Linked DNA regions of Lonchura striata. The protein of the gene in region 2 purifies or fractionates together with the protein of the main gene of each other region. This does not show direct contact. Links are inferred from orthologs where the notes say so. Each region holds a gene or a part of one and is shown on either strand. Other genes may lie near its edges.

Evidence for each region.
Region 1: the proteins of OTUD5 (region 2) and dnaJ homolog subfamily A member 1 purify together in Homo sapiens (affinity purification with mass spectrometry, with the first as the bait; 3 studies listed by BioGRID). This does not show direct contact. The link is inferred for Lonchura striata from reciprocal best matches to the Homo sapiens genes OTUD5 and DNAJA1.
Region 3: the proteins of OTUD5 (region 2) and MAPK1 purify together in Homo sapiens (affinity purification with mass spectrometry; 3 studies listed by BioGRID, with this or other methods). This does not show direct contact. The link is inferred for Lonchura striata from reciprocal best matches to the Homo sapiens genes OTUD5 and MAPK1.

The regions. Positions count from the first base shown.
Region 1 is NC_134642.1:48,010,397-48,018,147, reverse strand, and holds the start of dnaJ homolog subfamily A member 1, read left to right. Parts: upstream 1-4,737; 5' UTR 4,738-4,885; coding exon 4,886-5,017; intron 5,018-5,128; coding exon 5,129-5,306; intron 5,307-6,371; coding exon 6,372-6,476; intron 6,477-6,572; coding exon 6,573-6,800; intron 6,801-7,751. Other genes in the region: APTX (aprataxin), read right to left, coding at 460-771, 2,198-2,244, 2,946-3,082, 3,916-4,097.
Region 2 is NC_134638.1:1,035,679-1,043,244, reverse strand, and holds the start of OTUD5 (OTU domain-containing protein 5), read right to left. Parts: upstream 3,014-7,566; 5' UTR 2,890-3,013; coding exon 2,866-2,889; intron 1,709-2,865; coding exon 1,615-1,708; intron 894-1,614; coding exon 829-893; intron 1-828. Other genes in the region: EBP (3-beta-hydroxysteroid-Delta(8),Delta(7)-isomerase), read right to left, coding at 5,363-5,571, 7,107-7,237, 7,323-7,359. UniProt on the Homo sapiens protein: Deubiquitinating enzyme that functions as a negative regulator of the innate immune system. Has peptidase activity towards 'Lys-48'- and 'Lys-63'-linked polyubiquitin chains. Can also cleave 'Lys-11'-linked ubiquitin chains (in vitro).
Region 3 is NC_134620.1:7,339,554-7,347,099, reverse strand, and holds the start of MAPK1 (mitogen-activated protein kinase 1), read right to left. Parts: upstream 3,015-7,546; 5' UTR 2,803-3,014; coding exon 2,660-2,802; intron 1-2,659. UniProt on the Homo sapiens protein: Serine/threonine kinase which acts as an essential component of the MAP kinase signal transduction pathway. MAPK1/ERK2 and MAPK3/ERK1 are the 2 MAPKs which play an important role in the MAPK/ERK cascade.

The DNA of each region.
Region 1 (7,751 bases), on a different chromosome or scaffold from region 2:
GCCATATGAAGTGAACAAATAAGGAGGAGAAAAAAGCCCCATGCAATTACAAATAAATAAATCTTAAAAACGAAAGGCTCACATTGTTCAGTTCTCTGTGCACTTGCTTTTAGATAACCACTCAAGAGCCAGGACAGTGTCCTTGGGTGACTGCAGCTAAGTGGAGCTCACGTGGACAGTCCTTCTAGCAGAAACTGCAGCCAAAACCAGAGATTAAATCCTCACTTGCTACAGGGAAGCCCCCTCACACACACACACCTAACCTTCAGGTCAGGTTAGAATGGGTCCTAAGTGACTTTCCCAGGGTGTAGGTGATGTCAGGATCTTTATACTTTGAGGACCTGTGTTCACCAGAGATGCCTGCCACCAGCAGAATGGACAAAAGCAAAAGACAATGTCTCCCCATGGAGGCGACAACCCCAGGAGAAACAGCACAAGAATTAACACCAGCACACTTGCCTTTTGGCTCAAAGCTCCTTCATGTGTAGATACTTTGGTATTGCTTAGCTTTGGATTTGTAGAACTGCCTTGTGTATCCACCACCTCCAACTTCATTGTTTTTCTGGGCACAAGCTCTATATCATCATTCTCACAGGAGTCCTCATGTGGCATCTTGTCTGCTTTTGAAACAGTTTTCCCAGACTCTTCGGCAAATTCCACCACATAGGGGTAAAGATTATTTACAATATGCAGAACTTGGCCTGGCTTCATTTTTACCACTTCATCCTTGCCAATATTCACAAGATCAACACTAGTTGGGTTGACCCCTATCTTTGGTAGACAGGAAAAGGAAAAAATAGTAGAAAATTATGTTGTAAGTGGAATCGCCAACTTCTGCTCAGTTCTCCTGGAATACCATTATCCTAGAAAGCAAATGCATTCTGCATTCATCGCCCAGCCTGCCCACATCAACCCACTTTAGCCAACCAGGCAGTGAAGCACTGTGGACGTCTGTTTCTGTCCCAGTCTTGCAGTCACAGCTGTCAGCACACAACCTCAGGGCCTGCCATCAGAAGGAGCCTGGGTCTGCAGCAGCTACACAGTTACAGCATCACTTGTGCTGCACTTCCCTCACAAATTAGACACCTATGAAACAACTAGTTACAACTGTTACATGTAACAACTGTAACAACTGTTACATGAAGTAACAACAGCAACTATTTCTGAAGAGCAACTGTAGTTTTAGCAAATTATTTTTGTGCAATCAAACTGTGTTGTAGGCAACCTACAGAGATTGCTTGACAGATGGATTTTGCATCATCATGTAGGTGACCTTACAAAAATTAGGAGTCTTCAGCAAAATGCTTTTGGTTAATGTATATGCACAAAACGGGTTTTAGGAAATCAGCTCTCTTCTGTGACTGATGAACTCAGAGTTTTTGCTAGCTTTGTCACTGCCATACCTGCATGCTTCACAAGACAGTACTATACCTCTCACTTGGAATTCACTGCAATGAAGCACACACCTGATTCCAGCCAGGATCTCTTTAGTCTACAGCTATGCAGTTTCCCTCAAGTCAAGGATGCTTCCCATCAGTGAATAAAGTATCAAACAACTGATCACTGGAACCTTGTGCCACACATCTCTCACCTGGGGAGCAACTCTTCACACACACAAGCAGCAGTACCAGAGACCTTTCCCTTCCTATTCTCTCAGAGACTGGGTTTTGTAAAGTGTGAGGGAATAGGCCTGCCTCCATCCATCTGGTAACATTCCTGCAGGGCTGTCTTACATCCCATCCCTTCCTATAAGTAACCACATCTCTGGCCCTATCAGTCCACCAATAAAAATGTTCTACAACTGCATAGTCCCATTAACACAAGAACTTCAACCTTAAACAAAGGGCTGCCTCAGCTTATGAAGTTTAAGGCTCAGGAAAAAGATAAGCAAGTTTAGTAGAAGAAGTCCAAAGTCTCTCAAATGCAGCACCCAACAGAACTGATTGAGTACTCACAACAGCATTCCCTGATGCTACAAATCTGGCTGTGTTAGACTGGAATGTATCTGGAATGAATAGTGCAACCTCTCACTGAGGTGCACAAATAAGAAAATACACTTGCTGTAACTTCTCTTGGTGATAAGAAAACTTCAGGTCCCTCAGACACCGTGATTAGAATCACCACTTGGAGCAGTTGTGGAGTTAAGTACAACTGTCCCAGTACCAGAAATATTGGAGATCCATGCATAAAAACATACCTGTTTAACTGTGACATAACCCTTGTTACAGTCTGCTTTTAACTGAACTGGAAAAGAAAGAACAAAGTGTCACAAAACCATGTAAATAAAAAGAACTCTGCTGAACCACCCAGTCCAGAAAACACTCCTCTTTTTGAAGAGCCATATCTTTCTGGAGCTAATCTTTGTGAATGCATGCCAAGAATATTTCTGCCTCATCTCTTCATACCTCTTCTCATACCACAGGTAAAACAGAGTCAACCCATACACTGAGCCAAGGGTGGAATTACTTTGGAACAAAGGTGGATTCTGTTGATATTTATACATATGCTTGACATTCTAACCAGCCCACTGGGACAATAAGGCATAGAGCAAGACTGTGTCCAGAGGCACAGAATATAACACAGGGAAGATGTGCAGTATTAAATAAGTGATAGGTATTTTCATATATTCTCCAAGATCACATTATTTTACATATTAAATAATAATTATGCTAAAAATCAGTTGGTGGAATACTAGGGAGAAGAAGTGCTGCTCATGAAGTGAGCAGTGAAACACAATTGTGGGCCTGGGAACTCACAAAAAGCTTTTGTATGTGGAGGCGGACGTCCTGTCTCTGATTTTGTAGGCCCCAGAGATCCCCATAAGTGCTTATTAAAAAGGCTTGATGACTTCAAGAAGCAGGCAACACTGCAGAACACACAGAGGAACAAGGCACGCTCAGTTGCTGCTGCACGTGGAAAGCAGGATTTGAGCTAAATCACCTTACCTTGCTGACGTGAACACTTCTTATCTGTTATCCCAGTCTCTGGGCCACGCCCAATTACCACAGGTTCCAAGTGTGGCAGTTTCACCCGCTGAGTGCATTTCTCTTTGCTCACAAGCCAGCACATACGCATCACTGTGCTATAGAGCAAAATAAACAGTGTGTTACCAACACGCCACTTTCTGATGGGCTACCTTGCTGTGGAACATGGTCCATGAATTCTGCTACCATTAGGTTAGCCAATTCTATTAACTTGGTTCAAGTTTCTGAAATGCAAAGCAAACCATGTCACCAGCACTTGCATAATCCAAGAGCAGGTTGCTGTTTGAAAGGGCAATACTGTTTTCCTTCCTACACTACCATACATTCTCACATCTGTGAACCATATATAGGAAAAATCAATTTTATTGACAGTTCCATCTGACAGAAGAGCCTAACCACAAAAAACGTCACTTTGTTTCCCACTGAATCAGAGTTCACCGAAGAGATTAATTTAACAACCAAAATAAGAGAGAGCAGCAGAAGACAACACATGATGAGAGAGTTGTGACAGCTTCATCCAGCAACAGTCAGCACACGGACCATGCCATGTAACCTTCAAGCTTACATCAGTTTGACCCTGGTAAAGATCCCTCATGAGCTCTGCACTGGAGAGCTCATGCCTGCGGAAAGCAAGGCTCGGTCCCCAGTCTAACGCTGGCATGCCACACACCCATCCCCACGGCACACGTCCATCCCCACGGCACACACCCATCCCCACGGCACACGTCCATCCCCACGGCACACACCCATCCCCACGGCACACACCCATCCATCCCCACGGCACACGCCCATCCCCACGGCACACACCCATCCATCCCCACGGCACACACCCATCCATCCCCACGGCACACACCCATCCCCACGGGAACATGCCCATCCCCACGGCACACACCCATCCCCACGGGAACATGCCCATCCCCACGGCACACACCCATCCCCACGGGAACACGCCCATCCCCACGGCACACACCCATCCCCACGGGAACACGCCCATCCCCACGGCACACGCCCATCCCCACGGCACACACCCATCCCCACGGCACACACCCATCCATCCCCACGGCACACACCCATCCCCACGGGAACACGCCCATCCCCACGGCACACACCCATCCCCACGGCACACGCCCATCCCCACGGCACACGCCCATCCATCCCCACGGCACACGCCCATCCCCACGGGAACATGCCCATCCCCACGGCACACGCCCATCCCCACGGGAACACGCCCATCCCCGTGGGCCCCGTTCCCATGGCAACGCCTGACCGACCCCTCCCCCTTACCGCGCGCGTGATGTTCGCGCCGCCGCAGCCGCCACTGCAGCCAATCAGCTGTGGCAGCGTGTCTCCCACGTGACTAGAGGGAGGCGCCCGCCGCGGCGCGTAGCTCCGCGCAGGCGCACTGGGCCCGCGCACCCGGGGGTGGGCGCTGGGCCCTCACAAAGGGGCAGTGCCGGCCGGCCTTGCGGCGGCGGAGCCAAGTCTGCGTAGGGTGAGGGGGGTAAGGCGCGGAGCGTTGCCGGAAGGCGACGGCCGGGCCGGCGCTGCGTACCCGGTGCTACTCAGAGCCTTCGAGGGCGGGAGCGGCCGACGGCGCAGGCGCAAGGCGAGGCGGACGCTGGGCAGGGACGGCGCCGCCCACGCGGGGCGGGGCGGGGCCGCGCTCCAGATCGGCGGCGGAGGCGGGCGCAGATTGGCCAAGCGCCTTCCCCTCCTGAGCAGCCATTGGTGGGCCACTCGCCCGGGCCCTGCGCGCGGCGGGGCAGGACTTCCGGGGCGGGGCCGGCTGCTGAAGCGGCGGGGCTGCGGGCCCGGCCCGAACTTTCCAGAAGAGTCGGGATCGGAGCTGCGCGGAGTGGGATCCGCGACCGCCGCCCCGGGACCCCCGTGCCGCCACCGCCATGGTGAAGGAGACCACCTACTACGACGTGCTGGGCGTGAAGCCCAACGCATCCGCCGAGGAGCTGAAGAAGGCCTACCGCAAGCTCGCACTCAAGTACCACCCGGACAAGAACCCCAATGAGGGCGAGAAGGTCGGCGGGACGGGACGGGCCGGGGCGGGGGGGGCCGCGCGGGAGGGGTCGGGCGGGAGGCCCGCCGGGGGTGCCGCGGGTGCCTGAGTGCCGGTGCTGTTCTTTCTGCAGTTCAAGCAGATCTCGCAAGCTTACGAAGTGCTGTCGGACCCGAAGAAGAGAGAGCTCTATGACAAAGGAGGCGAACAGGCTATCAAGGAGGGTGGCTCCGGCGGCGGCTTCGGGTCACCCATGGACATATTCGATATGTTCTTCGGCGGTGGAGGAAGGATGCAGAGGGAGAGGCGAGGTAACGTGTTGGCGAGGGTATCAGATTCTCTGAGGGGAATGCCTTAGATGTAGGAGTTTAAACAGAAATTATAGACTTAATCTGAAAATTGGAGAAAACTCTTGTCCCTTAACACCTGAAACACCAAGGGAGGGCCCTTGGTTGGTGTGGTGGTAGTTGGGTATCCCTGTGCACTGTCCCCTGTTAATCGCTAAAGCAGGTGTGTTCGGAGTACTTTTAGCTTGAGTGTAAGCCCAGCTGCTAGTAGACAAAATAGGAAATGGAAGGGTAAAGTAGCTTAAAATGGTTTACTAATTAAGTTACTGTAACTGTAGTATCTAAAAGCAACTATCTAAATCAGATATCAAGATCCAGTTCAGTCTGTGAAATTTTTCTGTGTTCCTGCACTGTGCAGTGGAATTAAGTTGAAACTGCGGTAAAATGCTACCCAGAAGTTAAACTCCAGTTTAATCACGCTGGGAAAAACTTTAAAGCTGTTAAGAGCAGTGCTGAGCCTGTCACCTCTTAGTGAAGATCTGTTGAAAAGATGAAGAAAAAATGTTTTGTATCAAAATGTTAAGAGTGTCAAAGTACTTGTAATAACCCAGAGCTCAGCATCATTTACAAAACTAGGCCTACAGCAGCTGAAGTGCTAAGGAGTTCTTGAGGGTAAAAATATAATTGCTTATTTTTGCTTCCAGAAGGTCACCTGGTGAGAGGAAGGAAGTGCTGAAATGGAGATTCCAAACAGAGTCTCTGCCTTGTTTGTAGATCTTTTTGGTGACTTTGTTGAAACCTGAGTCCTGCATTATAAAACTTAAACGTTTGAGGTTCTGTGTGTTCTGTTGCTCATACTTGTTTGTACTTTTCCAGAAGGTCTCTTCTGACTTTAACAAAGTCAAAGTCATGACAACTGTTACCTAATATGACAGCACCTGGGAAGAAGCTTTTGACTAATACAAGCAAAACAAGACAAACCTCTATCGATACAAGATACTGAAGCCCAGAGACTTAGTTTATCTTGGCTTGGCAGGGAGATGTGCCAACCAAGCTTCTAAACTTTAATTAAGTTCTGTTCTTTTACAGGTAAAAACGTAGTCCACCAGTTGTCAGTAAGTTTAGAAGATATGTACAATGGTGCGATGAGGAAACTTGCACTGCAGAAAAACATTATCTGTGACAAATGTGAAGGTAATGTTGAAACTGAAATTAAAGAGATGTTTCTAAAGCTTTGGGGGATTTTTTTCTGGTAGCACATAACCACCTAACTCCATTTTTTGTTCTCAGGTCGTGGTGGTAAGAAAGGTGCTGTAGAATGCTGCCCTAATTGTAGGGGAACAGGCATGCAGATCAGAATTCACCAGATTGGGCCAGGAATGGTGCAGCAGATCCAGTCTGTGTGTATTGAGTGTCAGGGGCATGGGGAGCGTATCAGCCCCAAGGACCGGTGTAAGAGCTGCAATGGCAGAAAAATTGTTCGAGAGAAGAAGATACTGGAAGTTCACATTGACAAAGGTGAGGTGTCTTACTGAGGTGAAGTATTGAACTTGAATGTACTGACTGACTTTGCAGCACTAAAACAAAAGCTTTAGCAAATGTGGTGTTGATTTTGTGAGTAATAGTGCTGAATACACAGTAAAATTGCTTACTGCTGCCTTACAAAAGTAGACTTATTTTCTAGGGAAGGTCCACTATCTCTGTTCACTTCTAAAGCCTGGCACATAACTAAGAATGAATTCTGAAACCTGCGTTATTGTAAGAAGTGAATTATTTTTCAGGTCCCTCTAAGCCCAATTTGTGATCAGGTAACACAATCAATTTTCACTGCGTGCAGCAAAACTGCAGACTGATCACTTCCGCTGTGTTTCAGTGTGAAGGGGAGCCAGGTCTGCTATAGTGGCAGGGTGCACAGACAGTGCTAAGGCTCTCATGCTTAAAGCTCTGTTGACTACGCAGCCCTGACAGTGCTGCCCAATGCAGGTACCACTTCCTTGCCTGGCAAAATGCACCTCAATACACAAACCCTCAACGTGATGGGTGAACGGAATGGTATTGAATGACAAATGCATCTCTGTTGAGGGGGCTGCCCAAAAGCTGGTGGGAGAAGTCTGGAGTAATGCAGCTTGTAAGGCAGAGCACGCTGACAAGTACATGACTTAAACGGTCTTGCTTGTGATTATGGCCTGCAGCTGTTACATGTGTAAGCAGAGCTTCTGCAGCACCTGAATTTGTAGGGGAGATCCATAGTGGTAGTAAATATAAGGTCTAGAAGGGATGTATTACTGATATTTTGAACAGGGAAGTCTTATGAGAAGGATGTTTTTATAGAAGTAAGGGAAAAGATTTATGTAGGATAAGAAAGCTAGTATTTTTGTTCAATCGATTTCTTGTGTGGGTGAAACAAGTTTCTTATGGGAGGTTTTCAGTCCATAGGGAATGCTTCTTGGACTTGGCAGGCAATCAGAT
Region 2 (7,566 bases):
GGATGGTGGGGACATTGGGGATGGTGGGGACACGGGGACAGGCTGGGGACGGTGGGGACATGGGGACAGTGGGGACATTGGGGATGGTGGGGACATTGGGGACATTGGGGACATGGGGACAGTGGGGACAGGCTGGGGACACGGACACGGGGGGGACATTGGGGACACAGGACAGCTGGGGACACTGGGAACACAGGGATGTTGGGGACATTGTGGACACGGGGACAGGCTGGAGACATTAGGGACAGGCTGGGGACACAGGACAGGCTGGGGACAGTGGGGACAGGCTGAAGACATTGGGGACATTGGGGACAGCTGGGGACATGGGGACACTGGGGACAGGCTGGGGACAGTGGGGACATGGGGACACTGGGGACACTGGGGACAGGCTGGGGACAGTGGGGACATGGGGACACTGGGGACACTGGGGACACTGGGGACAGGCTGGGGACACTGGGGACACTGGGGACAGGCTGGGGACAGTGGGGACACAGACACGAGGGGGACATTGGGGACACAGGGACAGGCTGGGGACACGGGGACGTTGGGGACAGTGGAGACACGGACATTTGGGACAGGCTGAGGAGGGACACACTGGGACAGCCCTGGGGACACTGGGGGAGGGAACAGCAGCCTGCTCCCCCCAGGGCTCTGAGCACCCTCCCAGTCCATCCCAGTTCCTCCCAGTCCATCCCAATTCCCTCCCAGTGCCATCCAGTGCCCACCACTGCCCTCCCCAGTCCCTCCCAGTTCCATCCCAGTTTTCCCCAGTCGATCCCAGTCCCCTCCCAGTCCATCCCAGTCCATCCCAGTTCCCCAGTTCCTCACCAGGTAGTCCATGCAGTGCTTCCTCACCACCTCGTGCATGTCCTGGTCTCCGTACACCTGATCGGCTGGGGGGACACACAGGTGACATTGGGGGGACACAGGTGACATTGGGGGGGATGGACAGGTGACATTGGGGGGGACGGACAGGTGACATTGGGGGGACACAGAGGTGACATTGGGGGGACACAGGTGACATTGGGGGGGATGGGCAGGGGGCATTGGGGGGACATGCAGGTGACATTGGGGGGGGACGGGCAGGTGACATTGGGGGGGGGACGGGCAGGTGACATTGGGGGGACATGCAGATGACAGTTGGGGGTCTGTGGGGGATTTTTGGGGGGGATTTTTGGGGGATTTTTGAGGGGATTTTTGAGGGGATTTTTGAGGGGATTTTTGGGGGGGATTTTTGGGGGGGGTCTGTGGGGGATTTTTGAGGGGATTTTTGGGGGGATTTTTGGGGGGGATTTTTTGGAGGGATTTTTGGGGGGATTTTTGGGGGGATTTTTGGGGGGGATTTTTGGGGGGTCTGTGGGGGATTTTTGGGGAGATTTTTGGGGGGATTTTTGGGGGGATTTTTGGGGGTGTCTGTGGGGGATTTTTGGGGGGATTTTTGGGGGGATTTTTGGGGGGATTTTTGGGGGGATTTTTGGGGGGGTCTGTGGGGGATTTTTTGGGGGGATTTTTGGGGGGGATTTTTTGGAGGGATTTTTGGGGGGATTTTTGGGGGGGTCTGTGGGGGATTTTTGGGGGGATTTTTGGGGGATTCGGGATGGTTTCGGGGCTCACCCACGGCCCGGAACAGGCAGGCCCCATCCTCCTTCATGCGCTTGATGATGAAGCCTTTCTTCTCCCGCAGCGCCTTCTCGAACCGGTGCTCCTGCTGGAGACACAGCCGGGCTCGGGGGGGTCCCGGGGGGCCCTCGGGACATTCGGGGGTCCCTCGGGGCATTTGGGGGGTCCCTGGGGGTCCTTCGGGTCATTGGGGGGGGCACAGGATGAGGGGAGCTGAGGGAGCCACAGGGGATGAGGGGTGGGGTCACAATGGGGGGAAAAAGGTGGGGGGGTCAGGGAGGTTCTTAAGGATGGGGGGGGGTCCTGGGGGGGTTTAGAGGTCCCTTGGGCCATTTGGGGGGTCCCTGGGGGTCCCCTGGGTCATTGGGGGGGGTACGAGTTGGGGGGAGCTGAGGGAGCCACAGGGGATGAGGGGTGGGGGCCAAAAACGGGGGGTTCAGGGGGGTTCTTGGGGATGGGGGGGGTCCTTTAAGGATTTGGGGGGTCCCCCGGGTTATTTGGGGGGGGTATGAGAGGGGGAAACTGAGGCAGCCACAGGGGATGAGGGGTGGGGGTCCAATGGGGGGGTCCCGGGGGTGTCACCGAGAGGGGACACTGGGAATGGGGGGGGTGGGGGGGAAAACTTTGGGGGACAGGGAAGGGTCCCAAAGCGGGGGATGGGGCACCCAAAGCGGGGACAATTTGGGGACAATTTGGGGACAATTTGGGAACAAACGGCAGCAAAATGGGGACGGCGACAACCCCGCATGGGGGGGGGCGGCAACATCGGGGACACCGAACCCCGGCAGGACCCCCGGTGTCCTCCCGGTGTCCCCCCGACATCCCCTGATGTCACCCAGTGTCCCCCAGTCCTCCCCAGTGTCCCCCCAGTGTCCCTCGCTGTCCCCCCGGTATCTCCCGGTGTCCCCCCCCGGCCCTCCCCCGCGTCCCGGTGTCCCCCCGGTGTCCCCTCGCTACTCCCGGTATCCCCAGATGCCCCCGCGCTGTCCCCGCCGGTGCTCCCCGGTGTCTCCCGGTGTCTCCCGGTGCTCCCTCGTGTCCCCCCGGTATCCCCGGTCCCCTCCCCTGTAGCCCGGTCCCTCCCCGGTGTCCCCGGATGTCCCCGCGCTGTCCCCTCGCTAATCCCGGTGTCTCCCCGCTGTCCCCCCAGTCCTCCCCGCTGTCCCCCCGGTATCTCCCGCTGTTCCCCCGGTATCTCCCGCTGTCCCCCCGCTGTCCCCGCTGTCCCCGCCGCTCTCCCCGCACCTGCTCGGCCGTGGCCGGGTCCATCTCCACCCTGCCGGCCTCGTACTCGTCCTCGCTGTTGTAGCCGCCGCCCGCCTCGTCGGGCCCGGGGCTGCCGCAGCCGGGGCCCAGCCCCAGGCCGAGCGCGATGCCGCCGGGGCCCGGTCCCGCGGGGCCGCCGCCGCTGGGCCCGGCCCCGCCGCGCCGCCGCCGCTTGCTGTGCCCGGGGCCGCCGCCGCCGCCGCCGCAGCCGCCGGGCCCGCGGGGCTCGGGCAGCCCCAGCGCCGCCGCCTCCAGCCCCAGCAGCGCCGCGGGGCCGTCGGCCGAGCCGGGCCCGCCGCTACCGGCGCCGCCGGGCCCCGCGGGCGGGGGGGACCCGGCGGCCGCGGCCCAGCCCCGCAGCGGCGGCGGCGGCGAGGCGCGAGGCCGCGGCCCCCCCACGCCGCCGGGGCCGCCGGCTTCGCCGACGCCTCCGGGGCCTCGCTCGGGCCCCGCGTCCGCTCCGCGCTCGGGCCCCGCGTCCGGGCCGGAGTCGCCGTCGCCGTCGGGAGCCGGTACCGGCTTCTTCTTGGGGAGGATCGTCATGGCGGGGCGCGCATGGGGCGGGGGCGGGGGGCGGGCCGGGGGCGCGCGGCGCGGCGCGGGGCGCGGCGGGGCCGGGGCGCGGCGGCGGCGGCGGCGGCGGCGGGGCCGGGGCCGCCCCGGCGCTGAGGGGCCGCGGGCGCTGCGGCCGCCGGGGCCGTGTCAACATCAACAGCCGCCACCTCCGACCCCGCGCGCGCTTCCGCCTCGCCCGCGGCGCGCCGCGCCATTGGCTGCCGCGGGAGAAGGAGCGCTCCGATTGGTCCGCAGCCGGGAGGAAGTCCCGCCTTTCTTCTCCTCCGCCTCCGTGAGGGGAGGCGGGATGGGCGTTGCCATGGGGATGGAAGGGGAGAGCGCGGATTGGGCGAGGCGGGGAGGGACGGGCGGTGATTGGTTGGTTTTGGGGGAGGGAGGGGAGGGGGGAGGGAGGTGATTGGTTGGTGGAGGTGCCGGTTGAGCGGAGAGGGGAGGGGTGGATCGGTGTAAACGTGAGCGCTGATTGGGTGGCGGCACGTCAATCATCGCTGGGCGGGAGCAGCGAGGAGACGCCGAGCGTTGATTGGCGCGGGCTTAAACCCCGCCCACGTCGCCACCTTATTGGCTACAGCGAACGACCTAATTTCCTATTGGCTCAGGCGCGGCAGGGGCGGAGCCCAGCTGGGATCCCGCCCCTTTGAGGACCCCACTCATCTGTCAATCACCCACAAGCCCCGCCCCTTCCCCGCCCTCCCACGTGGTCCAACCCCCCAGGACCCCCCCCAGGAACCCCAAAAACTCACCAGAAACCCCCAAAACTAACCAGGACCCCCCAAAACCCCCCAAGACCCCCCCAGGACCCCCCAGAAACCGCCCAGGACCCCCCAAAAAACCCCCAGGAACCCCAAAAACTCACCAGAAACCCCCAAAACTCACCAGGACCACCCAAAACCCCCCCAGGACTCCCCAAAAACTCCTCAGTACTACCCCAAATCCATCAAGAGACCCCAAAAACCCTCCAGGTACCCCAAAAATGTGCCAGAACCCCCCCAAAGCCCCCCAAAACCCATCAGAACCCCCCAAAAAACCTCCAAAAGCAGAGCCCGAGCTCCATTTCCAGCTCCTTTATTCAAACCCATCCCTGCCCCCCAGGAACGAGGGACATTCCCACGGAAGACCCCCAAAAACGAGGTGGGGATGCCCCAAATTTAGGTGGGGACCCCGAGAACAAAGCTGAGACCCCCAAAAACGAGGGGGAGGTCCCCGTGGGGAACACGGGGGGCTCCGACCGCTCTCCCTGAGCTTTTTTGGGGGGGTCCCAAAATTCATCTCCAGGACCCTCCCGGTGCTGAACCTTCCCACGGGGGGGTTCCCCGATGCTGAGGGGGGGTCCCTCAGTCTGGGGGGGTTCCCTCACCCCTGGGTGGGGGTCTCAGTGGCCTTATGGTGGGGTCCCTCACCCCATGGGGGTCCCTCACCCCTGGGTGGGGGTCTCTCACCCCTGGGTGGGGGTCTCAGTGGCCTTGTGGCGGGGCGGGTCATGGGGGGTCCCTCACCCCTGGGTGGGGGTCTCTCACCCCTGGGTGGGGGTCTCAGTGGGCCTTTGTGGCGGGGCCGGTCATGGGGAGGTCCCTCACCCCATGGGGGGGTCCCTCACCCCTGAGTGGGGGTCTCAGTGGCCTTGTGGCAGGGCCTGTTGTGGGGGGGTCCCTCACCCCATGGGGGGTCCCTCACCCCTGGGTGGGGGTCCCTCACCCCTGGGTGGGGGTCTCAGTGGCCTTATGGTGGGGTCCCTCACCCCATGGGGGTCCCTCACCCCTGGGTGGGGGTCTCAGTGGGCCTTGTGGCGGGGTCCCTCACCCCTGGGTGGGGGTCCCTCACCCCTGGGTGGGGGTCTCAGTGGCCTTGTGGCGGGGTCCCTCACCCCTGGGTGGGGGTCCCTCACCCCTGGGTGGGGGTCTCAGTGGGCCTTGTGGCGGGGCCGGTCGTGGCCGCGCTGGGCCCGGGCCAGCTGCCGCCCGGCGTCCACGAGCAGCAGGCCGGGCACCAGCAGCCAGAGCCCGTTGAGCCCCACGAAGTAGCCCCAGAAGTAGAGGGGCCGCGGGTCACTGTGCGCCCAGCCCGCCCGCGCCTCCGTGGCGAAGTACAGCACGTCCCCGTAGAGCTGGCCTGCGGCGGGGACAGGCAGGGCATGGGGACAGGGACAGGCAGGGCATGGGGACAGGGACAGGGACAGGCAGGACATGGGGATGGGGACAGGGACAGGCAGGACATGGGGACAGAGACAGGGACAGGCAGGACATGGGGACAGGGACAGGCAGGACATGGGGACAGGGACAGGGACAGGCAGGGCATGGGGATGGGGACAGGGACAGAGGGACAGGGACAGGCAGGGCATGGGGACAGGGACAGTCAGGGCATGGGGACAGGCAGGGCATGGGGACAGGCAGGGCAGGGGGACAGGCAGGGCAGGGGGACAGGGACAGGCAGGGCATGGGGACAGGGACAGGCAGGACATGGGGACAGGGACAGGGACAGGCAGGGCATGGGGACAGAGACAGGCAGGGCATGGGGACAGGGACAGGGACAGGCAGGGCATGGGGACAGGGACAGCCAGGGCATGGGGACAGGCAGGGCATGGGGACAGGCAGGGCAGGGGGACAGGGACAGGGACAGGCAGGGCATGGGGACAGGGACAGGGACAGGCAGGGCATGGGGATGGGGACAGGGACAGGCAGGGCATGGGGATGGGGACAGGGACAGAGGGACAGGGACAGGCAGGGCATGGGGACAGGGACAGGCAGGGCACGGGGACAGGGACAGGCAGGGCATGGGGACTGTCAGGGCATGGGGACAGTCAGGGGGAACACGGGACAGGGACTGGAGATGGAGACAGCCTGGGGACGGGGACAGCCAGGGGATGGGGACAGCTTGAGGGGGACAGGAACAGGGAACGTCAAGGGGGGACAGCCTGAGGAGGACAGGGACAGGAGACAGGGGACAGGGACAGCCTGAGGGGGACAGGAACAGGGAACAGGGACAGTCTGAGGGGGACAGGGACAGGAGACAGGGGACAGGGACACTCTGAGGGGGACAGGGAAAGGAGACAGCAGACAGGGACAGTCTGAGGGGGACAGGGACAGCCTGGGGGGGACAGGGACAGGAGACAGTCTGAGGAGGACAGGGACAGTCACGGGGGGACAGGAGACAGGGGACAGCCTGGGGGGACAGGGACAGCCTGGGGGGGACAGGGACAGGAGACAGGGGACAGCCTGGGGGAACAGGGACAGCCTGAGGGGGACAGGGACAGGAGACAGGGGACAGGGACAGCCTGGCGGGACAGGGACAGCCTGGGGGGACAGGGACAGGAGACAGGGGACAGGGACAGCCTGGCGGGACAGGGACAGCCTGGGGGGGACAGGGACAGGAGACAGGGGACAGTCTGGGGGAACAGGGACAGTCTGAGTGGGACAGGGACAGCCTGAGGGGGACAGGGACAGGAGACAGGGGACAGGGGACAGTCTGAGGGGGACAGGGACAGCCTGGGGGGACAGGGACAGCCTGAGGGGGACAGGGGACAGTCTGAGGGGGACAGGGACAGCCTGGGGGGACAGGGACAGCCTGAGGGGGACAGGGACAGGAGACAGGGACAGCCTGGGGGGACAGGGACAGTCTGGGGGGACAGGGACGTGGCCGCGCCGTACCCAGGGACACGATGAGCTGCAGCACGAAGCGCGCCGGGTGCTGCCGCAGCAGCGCCAGGAAGGTGAGGAAGCTGAGGGGACCCCAGGCCCAGGCTGTCACCGTCTCCATGGCCACCGTGAAGTCATCGCTCCTGCGGGGACACCCCGGGGTGGCGGGTCACCCGGGGACACCGGGGACGGGCCACCCCTCCCCGTGTCCCCGCGTCCCCAACTCACGTCATGTAGCGGCTGTCGGCCTTGGCGTATTCCTTCCCTGCCGATTTGGGGAGGGGTCACCGGGGTGGGGGGGGAAGGGGACCCCCACAGCCCCCAGGGGACACCCAGGACGCGGCTGTGCCCTGCCACCAGCCCAGGGACCCCTCAGACACCCCAGGGACCCCTCCCCACATATCCAGGGACCCACTCAGATGCCCCCAGGACCCCTCCCCACATATCCAGGGACCCCTCAGATGCCCCCAGG
Region 3 (7,546 bases), on a different chromosome or scaffold from region 2:
GTATTTTATGTTGTGATCAATATTTCTCAAACATTATTCTCTCTGCTGCAAAATCAAAATGGAAGACTGGCCATAACAGCACTGTCCTAAGAATACTTCATTTGCCCTTTTACTCATATAATCGAAAGCATTTTATTGTTTTCAAATCCCTAATCCAATAATGTAGAAACATAAGAATCAGGATAAAACAAGAGAGAGAGTGAAGGATTTTAAGATTCAAAAGACACTCGTTTGCCAAGTAACAAGCCTTATGGCACAGTGCACTTGTAAATAACCATCATCTCCAAAGAGCTCCACATTAGCTGTGGGTCTAAAACAAAACCATCAGGACCTGCTTTGCTTTCCTTTATTAACGTGTACAAATTTAAATGGATTTTGCAGTTGCAGGAAACATCTCCATCTGCACACTCACAGCTTGCCCTCTACCCCACCCCCTGAGGGAGAAGCTTCTGCAGATCCTCACTGCATTAGCAACCAGAGCAAAACAAGAAACACAGAGCAGTAAACTGCTCAACCTGCATGGCTGGGATTGATAGGCAATCGCATTTCATCGCAGTCACCACAATAGGGCACAGCTGCTATGGCACTGCTACAAGTGCATCCAACACTTTCCTGATCGTGTACACGCCATAAACTGAGACTTTGTTCCCTGTCATTTCACACCCAAGGCACAAGAGCAATAATCACAAGCACAAAATACATAATGTGGCATTTTATGTTAATAATTTTACAGACAAGTGCAAGGAGCCAAGTGTGTATTTCAGCTGAACTGGAGATTTGGAAATTATCAATTTGATAGTGATTTTGCACAGCATTCACAGCAGACACAAAGTATCAGAAGAAGTTTTCAAATAAAAATCAGTCTTTTGGATTTAGAGTGGAAACAGCTTCAGTGTAGAAGTTTACCACACACCATTTGGAGGGGCAGAAGTGGCCCCGTTTCCCCTGTATCTGAACACTGGCACAGGGATGCCAAAAAAGGGCATCAACTGCCATCATGCTGCTTCTTGCAGTCCCTCATCTGTGGTGAAATATTTTAGCTTTTCACTTTGATTGTGAAACCCAGTTTTTAACACCCCATTGAAGTCAACTGGACTGTCCCCAGCACACACCTCAGCTACGCTACTCCCCAGGACCTTCAAAAACCTGACTGTGAATGCAAACCAGTGCAGCCACTACTGAGATTATCTGCATTCATTTCCTTACACTGCTCCAGATGATAAAATAACCATAATAAAATACAGCCTGTACCAGAAGATATATCAACAAATTTTGGACTAGATATATTGCTGTGATTTCTAACACTGAAACAATAACAAGGATATTTTTTATACAGTAAATAGGATTTTTGATTTACATTTTGAAGAATCTTCCCACAGCAAAGTAAGAAAAGTGAAGGCCACAACACAAAACTCTGAGAGAGGCTCATCTCCCAGCTGAACTCAGGCCTAGATGAAAGCCCCCTCCCTGAAACACACAACGACTTCATCCTGACAGGCCAGCACAATTCAGTGACTATGTGCAAAAACCTACAGCTATAAAAATCTATGTAGCACACAGCTGAAGGCTGTGAGGTGTCCTCGCTGAGAAATACACTGCTTTACAAAAGATTCCCCATCAGAGAGAGAAATTAATGCTGATAAAGCTTTCATTAAGTCACAGCCTGTAAGTTGCTTTTAGTACTTCTGGTCAAAAATCATACTGAAGAAACAGAGGCAGCGTTGCAAAGAAGTTGATAAAACAGCAATAAAAAAGAATTTTTTATCTGCATCCCTTAAGTTATTTCAGGACTACAGGGTTTTTTTAACTAATGGAAGACAAAATATGAAATCCTAAGTAAGGCTACTGAGCATGCCAGGTTAATAACCTAGTCATTAGATGCACAGATCAGACAGCATCACCCCAGCTCATTGAGACTGCTAAAAAATCCATCTCACACTCTCAATCCAGTTAGTTCACGTTTTTTGTAGTTCGTTCACGGCTCTCTGTAAGACCGATGTTACCCACAGCAAACCTACACGATCGCTTTTCAGCGAGACTCAGACTAAGTCTTTATAATACAATATAATTTAGACCTAGGAAGGCTGAAGATAACTTTCACCTGCACACAATAAGGCAGGCACTAATCCGGCCAGCTCTGCAGCACAGACAGCACGTCCTGAGCAAAGTCAGGCAGCGGCAGCAACTCCTATGCTCGGATTCACCTTTTTTATCCCCGCGACCTCGGCTGCTGCAGCCAGGTGAGCCCTCGCAGGGCACTGGAAGGGACGCGGGGCTGCCAGCAGGATTTACTACCTCCTCCCCTTCCTGAACGTCTGCAATCGCACTACGGAGACGGAGGAAATAACGAGAGCGACCAACTCCAGAGGCACAAGATTTAAAGAAAATAAACGCAGGAGCGAAACGAAACGAGACGCTCAGCTGCACCCACCGACCGAGGGATGGGGGGGTGAAGGGAGGGAAAGAAGGGTGATGCCGGAGAGACAGCCTCGGGAACACGGAGAGGAGGCAGAGCTGAGGAGCGGGAGGCAGAGCTGCTCCCCCTCCCCGAGGGCAAGGGCGGGCCAGGCCCGCGGCCGGGCAGGGCGGCGGGAAGGAGGGAGGGAAGGGAGGAGGGAGTTGTCCGGGGCAAGGGCGCTGCCCCGGCGGCTGCACTCACCACACCATGCCGTAGGCCCCCTCGCCGATGTAGGAGAGGTTGGTGTAGCGCGGCCCCACGTCGAACACTTGTCCCCGCACCATCTCCGGGCCGCCGGCGCTGGCGGAGCCGCCCGCAGCCCCTGCCCCCGACACCGCCGCCATGTTGTCCGTGCCGGGAACCGCGGTGCTGCGTGCGGGGGGGCGGAGGCGGGCGAGGAGGGGGGCGAGGAGGAGGATGCGGGAGGGAGGAGAGAGGAGGAGGAGGAGAAGGAGGAGGGAGGAAGAGGCGCCGCCCGCTCCGGCCGCTCCGCCGCTCTCGGCCCGCCGGCCCCGTCAGCGCCGAACCCGCCGCGGCCGCTCTGAGGAGGCGCCGCCGGCCGCGCGCGCGCACCGCCCGGCCCGGGAGGTGCAAGGGGGGAGCGGGGGGGGCGAGGACGCGCGCGCAGGGAGCGGCGCGGGGCGGGGCCGCGCGCGCAGGGGGCGGGGCCGGGGGCGGGGCCGGGGACTGCGGTAACCGCAGCCGCTGGGGAGGGGGCGCGGCGGCCGCGGGTCACGTGGGGCGCGCGGCGGGTCACGTGGCCGCGCGGCGCCATTAGAGGCGTCAGGTGACGGGCGGGAAATGGAGCCGGGCCCGGCCGCCCTCAGCCCGCTCCGCCCTGCCATGAGCGCGACTTCGTTTGTGACCCTTCCCGGCTTCACACGGTTCTGCAAACTCTTTTCAGCATAATGTTTTTACATGTAATGACGTTTTCCTGTTCGCTGCTTCCCGTATAAATGTAAATAAACTTTGTAGGGGAGGTAAAATCTCAGCTGAAGGTTAGTCATGGTTTGAGTACTGCTTGCAACCGTGCCGTATCTTTTCTGGTTTTCTGCAAGGCAGAGTTTTCCTGAAACAGCTTTTTCCTTGTTTGCAGGGCTTCATGCACAAGGATCTTAACTCCAGTTCTGCCCTTTCCAGCAGTTCTCTAATGACCCTGACAGAAGTACTAACCGTGGTTACTACTGATATTTTCTCTGCCAGCATCTCCGCTGCTTCGCGTCTGTCCGCACCCATGGCCCCGGCGATGCCTCGCTTCTCCCAACTCGCCGAGGTCGTTTCTGGCATCCCGCCTTCTCCCGGCCCTTCCTGCTCCGACCCGGCTCCTTTGCCGTCGGCCGAGCCGCCTCAGTGGTGCCCGGGGCGGGGAGCGCAGTCCCGGCTCCGGCTGCGCCCCCGGCTGCCCCAGGGCTCCGGGAGCCACCCAGCCTCGGCTGATGGAGGGAAACCTGTCAGGGACAAGCACCAAAATCCAACAAACTCGCCTCTGTCTTTAACAGGCATTCGACTCTACAGCTCGTGGTTTGTATATTTGGGTGGGATAATGCTTCTGATGTATTAATTTTTACATGTCTATGATGGTTTTTGTTTCGTGATGCGTTCTGCACTTCAGACACACAGCATTCTTTTTCTCAGAAATTTCAGACACCAGTAAATGCAAGTGTTTCAATTTTCTGAAACCAAGTACAGTATTATTTTAAAGGTTCTTTTAACTCTAAAAATGAAAATTTGCTTACAGTTCTGTTACATACATATATAACTCTGTCATTAGCAAATGCAAAACAAATTATTATGGAGAATGTAGCTTAAACACAGCCTGCCATACTAAATTTAATTAAAAACTGGTGTATATCTAAATTATTTTCTACCTTCGTGGGATGTGTCTGATCAAAAAGGAAACCAACCAGGCAGGCCAGGAAATCGTGGAAGGACTGTCAGCTCTTTTGAGCACTGTGTTCAAATATATGTCTAATCCAATTAAACCCGAGTAAATGGTCAGAGGCTACAGCATGCTCTCCCAACAACTCCTCCCATGGCAGAACTGGGTGCAGTGTTTCAGTGAAGCTCTGCAGTTGCTGAGATAGGCAGAGCAGATGGGAGTGGTATCAATCAGTTTTCACCCTACTTAAATACACTGCCATTACCTGCACTTAATGTTGGGTCTTTTGCCTTAATAAGGTGACATAAAAGCCTCAATTTTGGAAAGCACATAAACATGTTTTAAGAAAATTATGAGTTCCATGATCAAAATGAAGGGGGAGAAGAGGTGATACTTACTAAAAAATTATAGCAGATAATGAGAAGCAGAAGGAAAAGACCTTTTTATTTTGAACAGAGAAGAGTTTGTGTAAGCAGAAACAGGAATATTAAGAAAAAGCTAAGCCATTAGCTAAGTCAGTGTAAATACGTCATGGTTTGGACTGTCTCCATCTTCAGTCAAGTTCAGGAGTCACATGAATGAGTTCATCCTACAATCAGGATCTAGAAATTCCCTGCACTGTTACTCGTTTCTGCTTTAACTGTTAATTCTTGTTCTGTAAATAGGTCTCTTGAAAAGGGAACATTGTACCACAGGGCCCCTGAGCCCTGGGATCAGCAGTGCTGGGTCAGGCTGAGGACAAACAGCATGGAGCTGCCCTATGGTGTCCCTCTGTAGTGGGGGTGGGAGGCATCTCAGATCTTTGTGCTAATTTAAAACTGAAGCCACATCTCCTAAAATCATCATAATTATACCGGTTGTGTGATTTGCAGCCGTGGCTTTCTTGGTAGCTGTTGTACAAGTATGTCAGCATAAACCTGAACCTCCCCATCATCCCAATCAAACACTGGCATTAAGTACATACAGTTTTACCAGAATTATTTAAAAAGACCTCAAGCCTTTGTGCGGGGGTGATGAGAGAGAGAAATAAGACATGTTAAAATGTTTTATAAAGATATATTTTAACTTCTAAGGCACTCAGGAACCATGGTGATGGTTCTTGAAATTGCTTAGATATGAGCTCTGATCCACAGGGAACTATCCTAAGATTCAGAAAGAGCATCAGCTGGTAATAACTTCTAGTCAGTACCTACCTGGGCTTGACAGAACAGGTGACACACATCAGAAATCCCTTGAGACTCATCTTCATGTGAATGACCACTGCTTTCGCAGTGTAAAACGACCTTAATGAAAATGAGGCTATTGCTGTAATCTTGCACTGCTGGGAGGTTAAAAACAATCTCTCATCCACACTGCTGGGCCTTGGTGCCAGAAAAAATTTACTTTCCTCCCCAGTATTTCTTTTTTTCTGCATTCAACATTCTGGCAGACTTTACATGGAGCTTAGACACCATGGAGTTAAGATGAGAAAACAGATTGCTGTGGTTGTTCTGTGCATGCCAAGGGGAGCACAAAAGATTATTAATTGCAGAATGATTCTGTCAGTAACAGCCTTGATCCTGCACTGGGTATCATTCTGTCACTGTCAGAACCTGTCACTGTTGTAGGAGATGTCTTGTATTATCTATCATGTTCTGGTTAGTTTTGCTGTTCACAAATACAGTTTGAAAACACAGTTGCAATTTCAAATCATTTTCATATTCTTTAGTTTTGAACAAGTAATTTACAATCATACTCTAAATATTTTTAAAGGGATCTATTTTACAGCAACCTTAAAAGCTTATAATATAAATCTAGCTATTTTAATTAATATACTAACATTTTGTAGCTGTCTGTATAAAATTAAGTTGCTTTTATTTTTCAACTGCAGTTGTAGCAGTATCCAGGCACTGTCCTGCAGTTCAGGAATGGAAATTTCCCAGCCTCAAAGCACACTCTGTCTCAGTCAGCTGCAATAAAACTCTGAGTGATTTCAATATTGTTGTGTGCCTTACTTGTCCTCAGTTATCTGGAGCTTGTATCTTTTGAAAACCAGCTACTCCTCATGAGCTTGCTTCATCTTGCCCAAGACATGAAATTCAGTAAACAAGCTGAGGATGATAAGAGAACTGAATAACCAGATAAAAAGTTAATTTACAGGACTGGCAAAATGAAACATACGCATATTAAGTATTTACACAGCATATTACAGCGACTTGTGAGTCTTCACTGAGGTCCTGCTACATGACCCCTGTTTTCTCGTGCTGAAGCCTTGTACACTGGAAGGCTATTAAGTTCTTACAATAAGATTTAGCTAGTCTTTTGTTTCTGGTATCATTGATTGCTAAGAAATTAAAAGTTTTTACATAATTTTACAAAATTATTACATAACCTCAGAAGTCTAATAATTTACAAATACTAGAACATGCAGTGTGTTTCCCCCACATTTATTTTTGGTTCAGCTGTAGGCAGGACAAGTGATGCCTCCAGCAGAGGCAGAAGTCAAAGCATGTAAAAACAGGATTATTAGGATTTTATGTTGTCTAAATATTGCATTTTTAATGCTTTTTGCTCATAGCAAAAAATGTAGGGAACTTTTGTAATGAAGAGGTTGGCTGATGTGAAAACAGAGGAAAAAGGGTGATGCAAGAATGAATAAAAGAGAATATGGAGGGGGAGAATGTAACTTACAATTAAAATGAATAGGCAGTGGGACTGAGCTGTGGGAATAGAAGGGCCCTGGTTGGAGGGGTGATATCCAGACCCCACTGCATCTGGCTGTGTGCAAGGGAAGCCCCTGGCAGACACACAAGTCTATTCAGGGAGAACCAGTTTGGGGACTGGTGCCAGGCCTGCTAAAAAGAGCTCACCAGGACTTGCTTTCCCCGACGTCGGCGCCTGCTGGGGTGACGTTCAGCACAAACGCGTGCGGCCGATGACTCTGGTGGCACAAGTACACGTCCTACTTGCCTTGATTAGATGTAATCTAAACCATGGGCAGTGGCTGAACAGAAACAAATGATAGGGAACAGTACACTAATGGCACTCTGAGATTTTCACCAGGGTTGAACATTCAGCCAGCATTAATGGCTTTACATTCCATGACAAGTGCATGGCAGCCTTTAGAGTAAGCTGCAGGCCAATAGCACAGCAATTCTGGATGAAGGTTCCACATACAAACTGTCACTCTGGGCTTTCCTGGGCATGTGGCAAGGAAGCAGAATTCCCTC